Linked DNA regions of Kluyveromyces lactis. The protein of the gene in region 2 purifies or fractionates together with the protein of the main gene of each other region. This does not show direct contact. Links are inferred from orthologs where the notes say so. Each region holds a gene or a part of one and is shown on either strand. Other genes may lie near its edges.

Region 1 (4,787 bases), on a different chromosome or scaffold from region 2:
CCAGCCTACTGCTAAGAGAGAAGGGTTTGCCACTGTGCCTGATGTCACATGGTCCAGTGTCGGTGCTTTAGATAAAATTCGTATTGAATTGAACATGGCTATCGTACAACCGATCAAAAGACCAGAGCTTTACGAGAAAGTTGGTATTAGTGCGCCAGCAGGTGTTCTTTTATGGGGACCTCCAGGTTGTGGTAAGACTCTTTTAGCTAAAGCTGTTGCTAATGAATCCAGAGCAAACTTTATCTCCATCAAGGGTCCTGAACTATTAAACAAATACGTTGGTGAATCAGAGAGGGCAATAAGACAAGTATTCAACAGAGCACGTGCATCCGTACCATGTATAATATTCTTCGATGAATTAGATGCTCTCGTTCCAAGAAGAGATGCGTCTTTGTCGGAGTCATCTTCTCGTGTTGTTAATACCTTACTAACAGAATTGGATGGTTTAAACGATAGGAGAGGAATATTCGTTGTAGGCGCGACGAATAGACCAGATATGATAGACCCAGCGATGCTAAGACCAGGGAGACTCGATAAAACCCTTTTCATAGAATTACCAAATTTCGAAGAAAAGGTCGATATTATGAGAACTTTGATTAGATCAAACGGAACTCCAATTGCAGACGACGTAGATATAAACAGGATTGTTAATGATGAACGTTGCAAGAACTTTTCGGGTGCAGATATCGCCGCACTGGTCCGAGAATCATCCGTCCTGGCTCTCAAACGAAACTTTTTCAAAACTGATGAAATCATGTCAGTAGGGGAGAACAACCTAGACAAAGAATTCGAAGATCTCACAACAAACTCTCCAACTGAAGATGTAATTGTCTATATGAAAGATTTCGAAAACGCTTTAAAGAAAGTAAAACCCTCCGTCAGTGATAAGGATAGAACTAGATATGACAGACTAAACAAAAGGATGGGATGGAACGATTCTTCAGATGGGTCTGAATGAGCTTTAAATTCTACAAATATGTAATAAATATGATGTCATTTCATGTGATGTCCTCTTCTCATCACATTTTTTCTTACTTTCCATACGTGTTCATGTCTCTTCTTTTGGTAAAGAGAAACGTATGGAATATCAACTTCACTTTTGAATATGCCATTATTTGGGTATAACTCGCAGATGGGTGTTTCCGTCTTTCCACGTACTAAGACCCATTTGTTTTCCGTTTCTCTTAAGGCCCGAAAGAGGTTCTCAGGAATATACATGTAGATGAGGGACTGTTCAAGATCAATAGAATGAATCAAAGCAAGTCCCACAAATTCAGTGTTAATTTTTGAGTAATTCTTCATCACTGGGAATATGCCCTTGAATAGCACGTCTGGGGTACTATCTGCCCTATGAAGAGCAACGACCGTCCCATCTAAAGATAGTTTGATATCATCGTGATACAAAGAGCTATTGGAATATTGGAGAAACTCAAAACCAACTATACCGCGGTTGCCAATAGAAGTTAGTTGAGGTTTCTGCATGACCAATGGATTGATTACAAAATTTCGGTCATATTTTTTATGTAAATATGCTGTAATCTTGAACTGCCTGATTTTAGCTGCGTTAAATCTTTGTAAAGCATGGGATATGTGTTTACCCACAGCAGGAGAATGCAATTGTAGTATTATAGGTTTGTAAGTTGACCGCTGAGTTGTACTGAAAGCGTCAGGGACTTTAATTTCGGACGAAAAGGGCAGCCCATTATAAGATAGAAATATGATGTGAGTTGGCTTGAAATGGTCAAGTGCATGGTTGATAATTTTAACACCAAATCCTTTAATCCACCCAGGAATATTTAAAAATGATGTCCCCATGAAATTCTCTGTCTGCCACTCTTTCAAAAGTGATTCTACAGCGTTAGAGTATGTTTCTGGCCAATCCTGAGGTGATGAGGATCCTATGAAATGCTGTTTTATGGTTGTGAATCTTCCTTGGCAAAGATGTTGGCCTAAGGACATAGATTTCGGGTCTACTTTATTCCATGATATGCTTTCAGGTGGCGAGTACTCTGGCTGACCAGGATCAATATCAAGGTAGTGTATGGCTTCATATGATAGATCGTTGTTACTATGCAAAAATTTTTGGACAAGAAGCCGCATCAAAGTGGATTTTCCTGAGTTCTTACCTCCTATTACCATGACCCTCATATCTTGTGACGAGTTAGCGTGGAATATACGCATTTCATCGATGACTGTTGACCATTCGGTTGATATATCCAATATTCTTACAGAATCGGAAATTTTACTGATAATGTTGAACGTTAGTTGCTTTCTGGCAATTCCCGGTAGCAATGAAATATTCAAAGGACCCCACATATCTCTAAGCTCAGGTAATAAACTAGATAATTCTGTTATATTGCAGCCATTGCTGATTTTTAGGACGCAGTCGTAGCTTTCGATCTGTGTTGTGAAATGTTGATATTCTCGGTTAAGAAACAATTTAGATTCCCAACCGGCATAAAAAGAAGACACTATTGGCGAAATTGCATTACAAGCGGGATGCCAGAATTCCCAGTTTTTATAACCACTGTTATAATGAACGTTGTTATATGTAATCCCGCCTTTTATAATTTGTAGATTGAACTGACCGCATATTAGAAGGTGTTGATTCTTTTCTAAGCATATTATAACTTCAGTACACTCATCGGATAGAGTGAAGAAGTTCATGTCAACAACGGGCGAATACAGCTGGTTTGATTCATCTTCTTCGTTAGGAAAGTCATTCCCATTCGTTTCCCTGATATCATCATTGTCATAGTCATCTCCATCGTAGAGTTGCACTACTGGCGTTTCGCTAGAAGTCTTGTATTTCTTTTCGATTTCTCTTTGTTCCACATCTGAATCGTCTGAATCGGTGTTCGCGGTGTATGTTAGAATATCTTCAGACATCTCAAATATGGTTCTGTTGGAAACCGAGCAAGTGGCATTCGAATGCTGAGTTTATTGCACCTTACCTCTTCTCATCTCATCTCATACTGAGACTTTTTTCTGTTTTGTTCTGAAATTTTTGTTGACATTTTACTGAGCTCATAATCAGTGCATCTAATAGCAAGGGAAACCAAAAGCTGTCGTCATCTTGAGAGAAAACTCAAAATCAAACCTACCGGGAACTATGCATGAATTATAGTTGTACATACTCCTTAGAAAATAATAAAAAACATTACATATAAACTGTCAGCTTTAACCTTATAATTGTATCCACAAAAAAAAATTATAAACAAAAAAAAGAGATTGCCGCCCCAAAACCATGTCATCAAGTATATGTGTCATAACATTGCAGAAAAAATTCGGAGTAATATTCTACTATAACGAGGCTATATCACAACCTGAGGATATTTTGATAGAGATATCTTGTTCGACGGAATTCTTCCTTCAATGACACATTCTTTGGAGTCACTAAATTCATCAAATGACGTAAAGCCTTGCTCTTCCTCTTCCTCTTTGAATTCATCTAACTCCTCCATAAGTTCGCATAACAAATAATCTTTAACTAACTTGACAGTTGAATAGGTTTCGTAGAATAATTCCAAGTCTTGCTCTTCTGAGGATAGATTTAACGAAGTGAATGACTCCTCCAAAGATACGTTGTCCTTTTCGGGGATATCTTCGTTAGCCTCAGCATCCAACAGCGCAGTTCTTTGGTGTAGGCTGTAATTATTCGAGTAGTGTTGAGGATAGAATGCTGATGATGATGAAGAAGGAGATGTTTGATGTGTATCAAACCTGTTGAATACGGACAATACCGGAGGTGGAGCTCCAACATTTGGCCTGGCTGAAATACTGGGCAACTTAGGGATTAGTGGGTATGATTGTGGTGCAGGTACCGGGTTAGGACCCAAGTTAGCGGTCGGTAGGTTATTGTTAGCATAGTTTCTAGACATATCCATGGATAAATTATTGAAGAATCCAACAGCGGATCTCAATTCAGCACCGTGACCCACGAGAGGACGTTGCTGGGTTTGGTAAGGAAGAACCATATGGTGCGATACCAAGTTCGGGGAAACTGCAGTGGACGAAGCAGAAGACGCAGAAGGAGGGGAAGTTGCGTTGTTGTTATTAACAGGTAACAGCAGGACGATGGCCATCTTTTCTGCCAATTGTTGAGAGTACACGGGTTGTTGAGTCTTCACCTCCTCGTGAATAAATTTATCCAAAGAAATAGATGGTAAAGTGAATCTCTGATGAGCACGGGATCTGTCATTTGAAATCTTTCCCAGCTTATTGGATGGCTTCGGACCACGTTTTTTTTTCAGTAGTGAAAGTTCTTCGTTATGTACCTTCAAATGTTTCTTTAAATCTTGAGGTCTTTTGAATTTTTTATTACAAGTGGAGCAAGCGAAAGGTTTTAATTGCACATGAACTCTCAAATGAGACGTGATATGGTCTCTTTTAACTGTTTTAGTCTGACAATCGCCCCATTGACAGTTCAGTTGCAAATTCTTCTGTGATTTACGGCCAACATGATCTTGGCAAAGATGATGATAAAGTAGTTCGGGAGAAGTGAACTCCAAACTACAGCCTTTCCATTGGCAGCGGTGCAAATGAACAGTATCTTCGTCAGAGCTAGAAGGCGTAGAGGCAGATCTCATACCAGTGGTGGAAAGGGGTGAAGACGCAACACATGCCTTTCCATGAGGGGAAGCCGGTCCGGTATGAATGTTAGCTAGAACCCCAGCTGAGGATTGACTCTCTTCGCAGCTACTACTGCTGTTGCTGCGAGGAGATGGATACGAGCGAGGAGACAAAGGACTGACAGCCTGCTCCTCCGAACCGTGATCGTGACTATC
Region 2 (5,138 bases):
TTCTACTCCTGTTGCTCAGTAATATGCTTTGGATGTTGATGTTATAGTATGTATTACAAATAAATGTGCTGATATAAACGGGTATAAAATTGTCCACAGTTCATCATCTTCTGAATTCCCTTCTTCTATCGTTACTATTCGAGTATCGATTGCTATTACCTCTACTGTTGTTATAATGACGGTTGTATTTGCCGGTATTACCATTATTATTATCAGAATAACCGTTGTTACTATTATTGTAGTTTCCATTATTATACCTAGACTGTTGATATCTGCTGCCCTGTGGCTGTCTCTGTTGCGAGTGCATATACTCTCTATTTTGTTGCGGTTGTTGAGCATAAGCTGTCTGTTCTTTATGGAAGAAGAAACTTCTGTAACCTCCAACCCTGGGCTGATATTGGGTAATCCCCGATGGGCCAACAGGCACAATGTTGTATTTCATCATGGAAGGATTCCAACGGTTACTGTATTTATAAATGATACAGTCTCGGTCCTGTGGGGTAAGCATTGGTTGAGGTGGGATATATCCGTTCAATACTAACGATTTACATCTACCCGCAACCACAGGCTGCGTATACGAAAGTTTTAGGAATAAATTTGTACTCAAATCTGGCAAACCACCCCCATTAATAGGACATATCAGCTTGGAGTTTAGTTCAAACCCTTCTTCAGCTTGTGTTACGAATCCACTTAAACCAGATTTGAAATGTCTAAACTCTATCACGTTAACGGGGTTTTCTCCATATAAATTCTTCATAAACAGGTCGTAATTCACATTCTTGTTGCTGATCAAAAGTGCATCCTTCTTCCTAACATTTCTTGCCTTTTCTGAATCAGAAAGCTTAGAATATTGTTCTCGAACTGTTTTCAGTAAACGTGTTTCATCTATAAATGGCAATAGTGCAATACCCTGCCAAGCCATCTTTTTACCATTCATATCCACTGGGAATTCTTCAGGATAGAAATCTATAATCTCAGAGTTTGGATCTGACATTAATGGTCTGAATATTTCGGGTAGTGCGTGGCCTGATGCTGCTGGTAAAACACTCATTAACTGTTCGTATGGTAAGAATGGTTCACCAAGATCAAAGTGAATATCTAGATTTTTTATATTCTTGAAATCCTGAGCAAAAGGAGCATAATGGTATGGATAGTACCAAGTCCAAGACGCACATCCCTGATAATAATATAATAAAACCCATGAAATACCTTCCACATAGCACCTAATCACATCCTTTTGCAGAGCTGGAATATCTTTTGCTGGAACATGGAATTTATGTTGATAGTAACGATCATGATATCCAGGTTCGTAAAGTCTAACCGACTCATCGGTGTCAATGAACCCTGATTTTACAATACCGGTGTGGATGACCGCTGGTGGAACAGTAGAGCCTTCGTCTTCATCATAATCGGCCTCATCATCCTCAGGTTCATTGGATGTTTCCTTTTCAGCAGAGTCAACATCTTCACTTTTCCGTTTCAACGACAATTCTTCTGCATTTTCCTCATCTCTCATTGCCATCTTCTTAGCAATAAGTTTCTCCTGTAAGCTGGTAGCAGCATCGTAGTTCGCAGTCTTCGACAGTTGCACGCTATTTTTCAATTCTTCCGATGAAAACTCGACCACACCGCTATTCTTCTCACTTTTTAGTTTCAAAGCTTTAGCTGCTTCGCCATCACCTTCATTCGCCAAATTAATTTCTTTACGCATATTAGCGAAATCCTTATTAGACAAATTCAAAGAGCCTTCAGCGGCGTTGCCATCAACATCATAGACCGGCATATTCTCCAACGGAATCATAAAATTTCTGTCGACCTTGCCCTGGGAAACATTGGGGTTACTTTTCAATTTCTTTCGCCTATCATGAGCCTCTTGCTTACGAACTTCCTGAATGTATTTCTTTTTGAAAAGATCTGTTTCACGGTCTCCTAATTGTTCAAGTAAAGCTTCTACAGGTTCCAAATTGAGTGTACCATCACATGTTAGGTAGGTTTTTGTTTTGGGCAACACAGTCTTCCATATATCCACCAAAATGTCAATGCTATTCTCTCTCACATCAAGACAAGGTAAATGCGGTAGGAAATCATTACCACAGAAGAAACACATGAAAACCCAATCGTCGATTGCTCGTTCAAAATCAAACTGGAACGATAAATGTGGAATCGCTAATTCTGCTGAAAGATATTCTCTTAAAACGCTGATATGGAGCCATAAGAATGGCTTTTCTGAATCTTGTTGAATAAGCTGTTGTTTCTCTTCTTCAGATAAATTTATCATATCTTGAGGCTTTGGTTTTTTATAGTTGTTATTGGCGAACACATCCTCTCTTAATATTTTGAAATGAGGTTCGTGGGTTGCTAGTCCCAAAAAGATCAAATCTGCATCTAACCCATATATACAATGTGTTGTATTTGGATTATATTGAGTGTCTGCTCTTTGAGATCTAATGAAATTCATTATTTTATGTTCACCTTCACCTGGAACAGTAGCGTCACTTATAATAATTTGTAAATTTTTCCACCCGGGATCAGTTGCTAACTTGAAACTTGTCCAATATCTTAAAGCTGTAGCTAGTTTATCCATAAATGGGGTACCTGGAGTAATTGCGTTTGAATCCCATGTCTTTTTACTTTTGACATTTTCATCAATCGTCTCACCATAGTCCTCTCTTTCTCGTAATACTTGCTCTCTGGCTTCATTTTGGAGTTTTGCATCCCTTGCACTACGAAACCTACGTGCTCTCTGTTGATTCATCTTCGCTCTTGGTGCAACACCATCAACCGCTATCATCAAGACTTTTCTTGGTCTGGCCATATTCAAAACGCGATTTGTGTACTCAAACACAGCAAGAAGCATTTCATCCTCTGTTTCAGGTGGTGGCTTATTCTCCGGATGTGAACAAGGGTGAACAATACCATTCATATCGAGATAAAGGTTATCCAACTCACCATTGGGATTGGCCGAAGAGTAATCAAGCGGTAGTTGAACACCATCTTCGATAACTGGATATTCTTCCAACACAGGAGAAATGATTTTAGGATATTTCCTAGACAACCAACGAAAAAAGGACGGAACACCCATTGTGAGTACCTGGCCTTACTTCTCGCTATTTGTACCAACTGCCTATTAGATTACAGTATGCATTCATCTGTACTTCTAAAGTTATGTTCATCTCATCGATTAATTTTACTTATTGTTTATTGTTACCCGGATAAATAACTCAGCTCATCAACGATGTAGTGACAAACCGCTTTGAGTAACAATAATACCAGTAATTGCTAAACACAGCGCTTGGTTCACTGTACAATAAACTCATCCAGCGATTCTATTATACAATCTTTCGTTTATTACGAATATGAATTTTATTAATGTTATAATACAAGTACTGATATTTAAGAATTGCAATAGCGTAAATAGCTAAGGTTACATCAATCTTTCCTGAAGTTCAATATCATCACCTCTGTTACTGTTTCTACCAAATCTAAGCCATGACAATCCACCGGAAGCTTCCATTGATTTGATATTGAGTGAAGGCGGTGTCCACCTCTTCAACATTAGCGAACTGCAGACCACGGACACGGAACTTAGAGCCATTGCAGCACTAGACAACATTGGATGTAAAGTGATACCCCAAGGAGCTAATAAACCCATAGCAATGGGAATCATGAATGTGTTATAACAGACAGCCCAAAAGAAATTCAGCTTCACTCTATAGAATGTTTTACGCGCAATATCAAGTGCATAAACCAAACCTTTTAACGAATTATTTTTATTATCCGAATCAAGAATAACGATATCGGCAGCTTCGATTGCAATATCAGTACCAGAAGATATCGAAATTCCTAGATCTGCCTCAACCAAAGCCGGAGAATCATTAATACCATCTCCGACAAAGGCAACCCTCTCTGTACCGTTGTTTTGGAGTTGAATGACAATATCACGTTTCTGCTCAGGAGTGACTTCACTGAAGACATCATTAGCGGATATGCCAAGTTGTTGTGCCACTTTCAGAGCAGATTGATGCGCATCTCCTGTGACCATGCAGCATTTAATGCCCAAATTTTGTAAATATTCTACAACAAAATGTGCGTCTTCTTTGACCCTGTCAGATATTTCAAATTTGCCGACTAAACTACCATCGATGGAAACATAAGATTCTGTTAAAGTAGAAGAAGCGATATCACTCAAACTCTCATCGGGAAATAATTTCTTGTTACCTATGGTTATTGTATGGATTTTAGAAGTATTTTTATCTGTGATGTTACAGGAAATTCCCTTTCCAATGAGAACTTCCTCATTCGATAAATCCAAATCGAAAATGCTTGATTTATTTACGTGGGAATCAGCATAATTGACAATAGCTTTTGCAACTGGATGTTCTCCTATTGATTCACACAATGAAATCATCTTCCAGTGTAAATCAGATACATCACTGTTATAATTAATGAAATTTTCTACACTCATCCGCCCCGTCGTGAGGGTACCTGTCTTATCGAACAAAAACGTCTGTAGAGCACTACACTTCTCCAAAACATCACCACCTTTGATGAGAACACCATGACTAGCACCTACACCAGTACCAACCATAATCGCCGTAGGTGCCGCTAGACCCAATGCACAAGGACATGCAACAATAATTACAGAAATAGACATTTGCATGCACATGAAGAATTTGCCATTTTCACTGTTAAAGATGAGAGGAGGAGTCTTCATCGTGTAACTCACAAGCATCCAAGTTATAAATGTTATTGCTGATAGTGATATCACAAACGGGACAAATATGCCCGCCATCTTATCAGCGTATTTTTGAATAGGAGCTTTAGATAACTGTGCCTTTTTCATCGTTGCGATAATGTTCGCTAATTTTGTATCTTCTCCGACACGAATAGCTCTGAAGTAGAAATGACCAGGTCCATTGACACTCCCCCCGATGACTTGAGATCCGACGATTTTTTCCACCAACATCGATTCACCTGTGATTAGCGATTCGTCAACTTCAGTTTCATTACGAATAACAACACCATCAGCTGGTATTTTCATTCCTGGTACGACTTCTACGATATCATTTGGTTGTAACAATTCAACTGATATTTCCCTGGTAGAGCCATCTGGTAAAACTATGGAACAGGAGGACGGG

Evidence for each region. Proteins that work in one complex are often made in the same cells at the same time.
Region 1: the proteins of RAT1 (region 2) and GRC3 purify together in Saccharomyces cerevisiae (affinity purification with mass spectrometry; 3 studies listed by BioGRID, with this or other methods). This does not show direct contact. The link is inferred for Kluyveromyces lactis from reciprocal best matches to the Saccharomyces cerevisiae genes RAT1 and GRC3.

The regions. Positions count from the first base shown.
Region 1 is NC_006041.1:80,597-85,383, reverse strand, and holds GRC3 (polynucleotide 5'-hydroxyl-kinase), read right to left. Parts: upstream 2,890-4,787; coding exon 994-2,889; downstream 1-993. Other genes in the region: putative AAA family ATPase RIX7, read left to right, coding at 1-958; alkaline-responsive transcriptional regulator RIM101, read right to left, coding at 3,315-4,787. UniProt on the Saccharomyces cerevisiae protein: Polynucleotide 5'-kinase involved in rRNA processing. Required for the efficient termination by RNA polymerase I and the processing of the IST2 pre-rRNA internal transcribed spacer localized between the 5.8S and 25S rRNAs.
Region 2 is NC_006042.1:701,899-707,036, reverse strand, and holds RAT1 (ssRNA exonuclease RAT1), read right to left. Parts: upstream 3,083-5,138; coding exon 104-3,082; downstream 1-103. Other genes in the region: Cu(2+)-transporting P-type ATPase CCC2, read right to left, coding at 3,425-5,138. UniProt on the Saccharomyces cerevisiae protein: Possesses 5'->3' exoribonuclease activity. Required for the processing of nuclear mRNA, rRNA and small nucleolar RNA (snoRNA) precursors.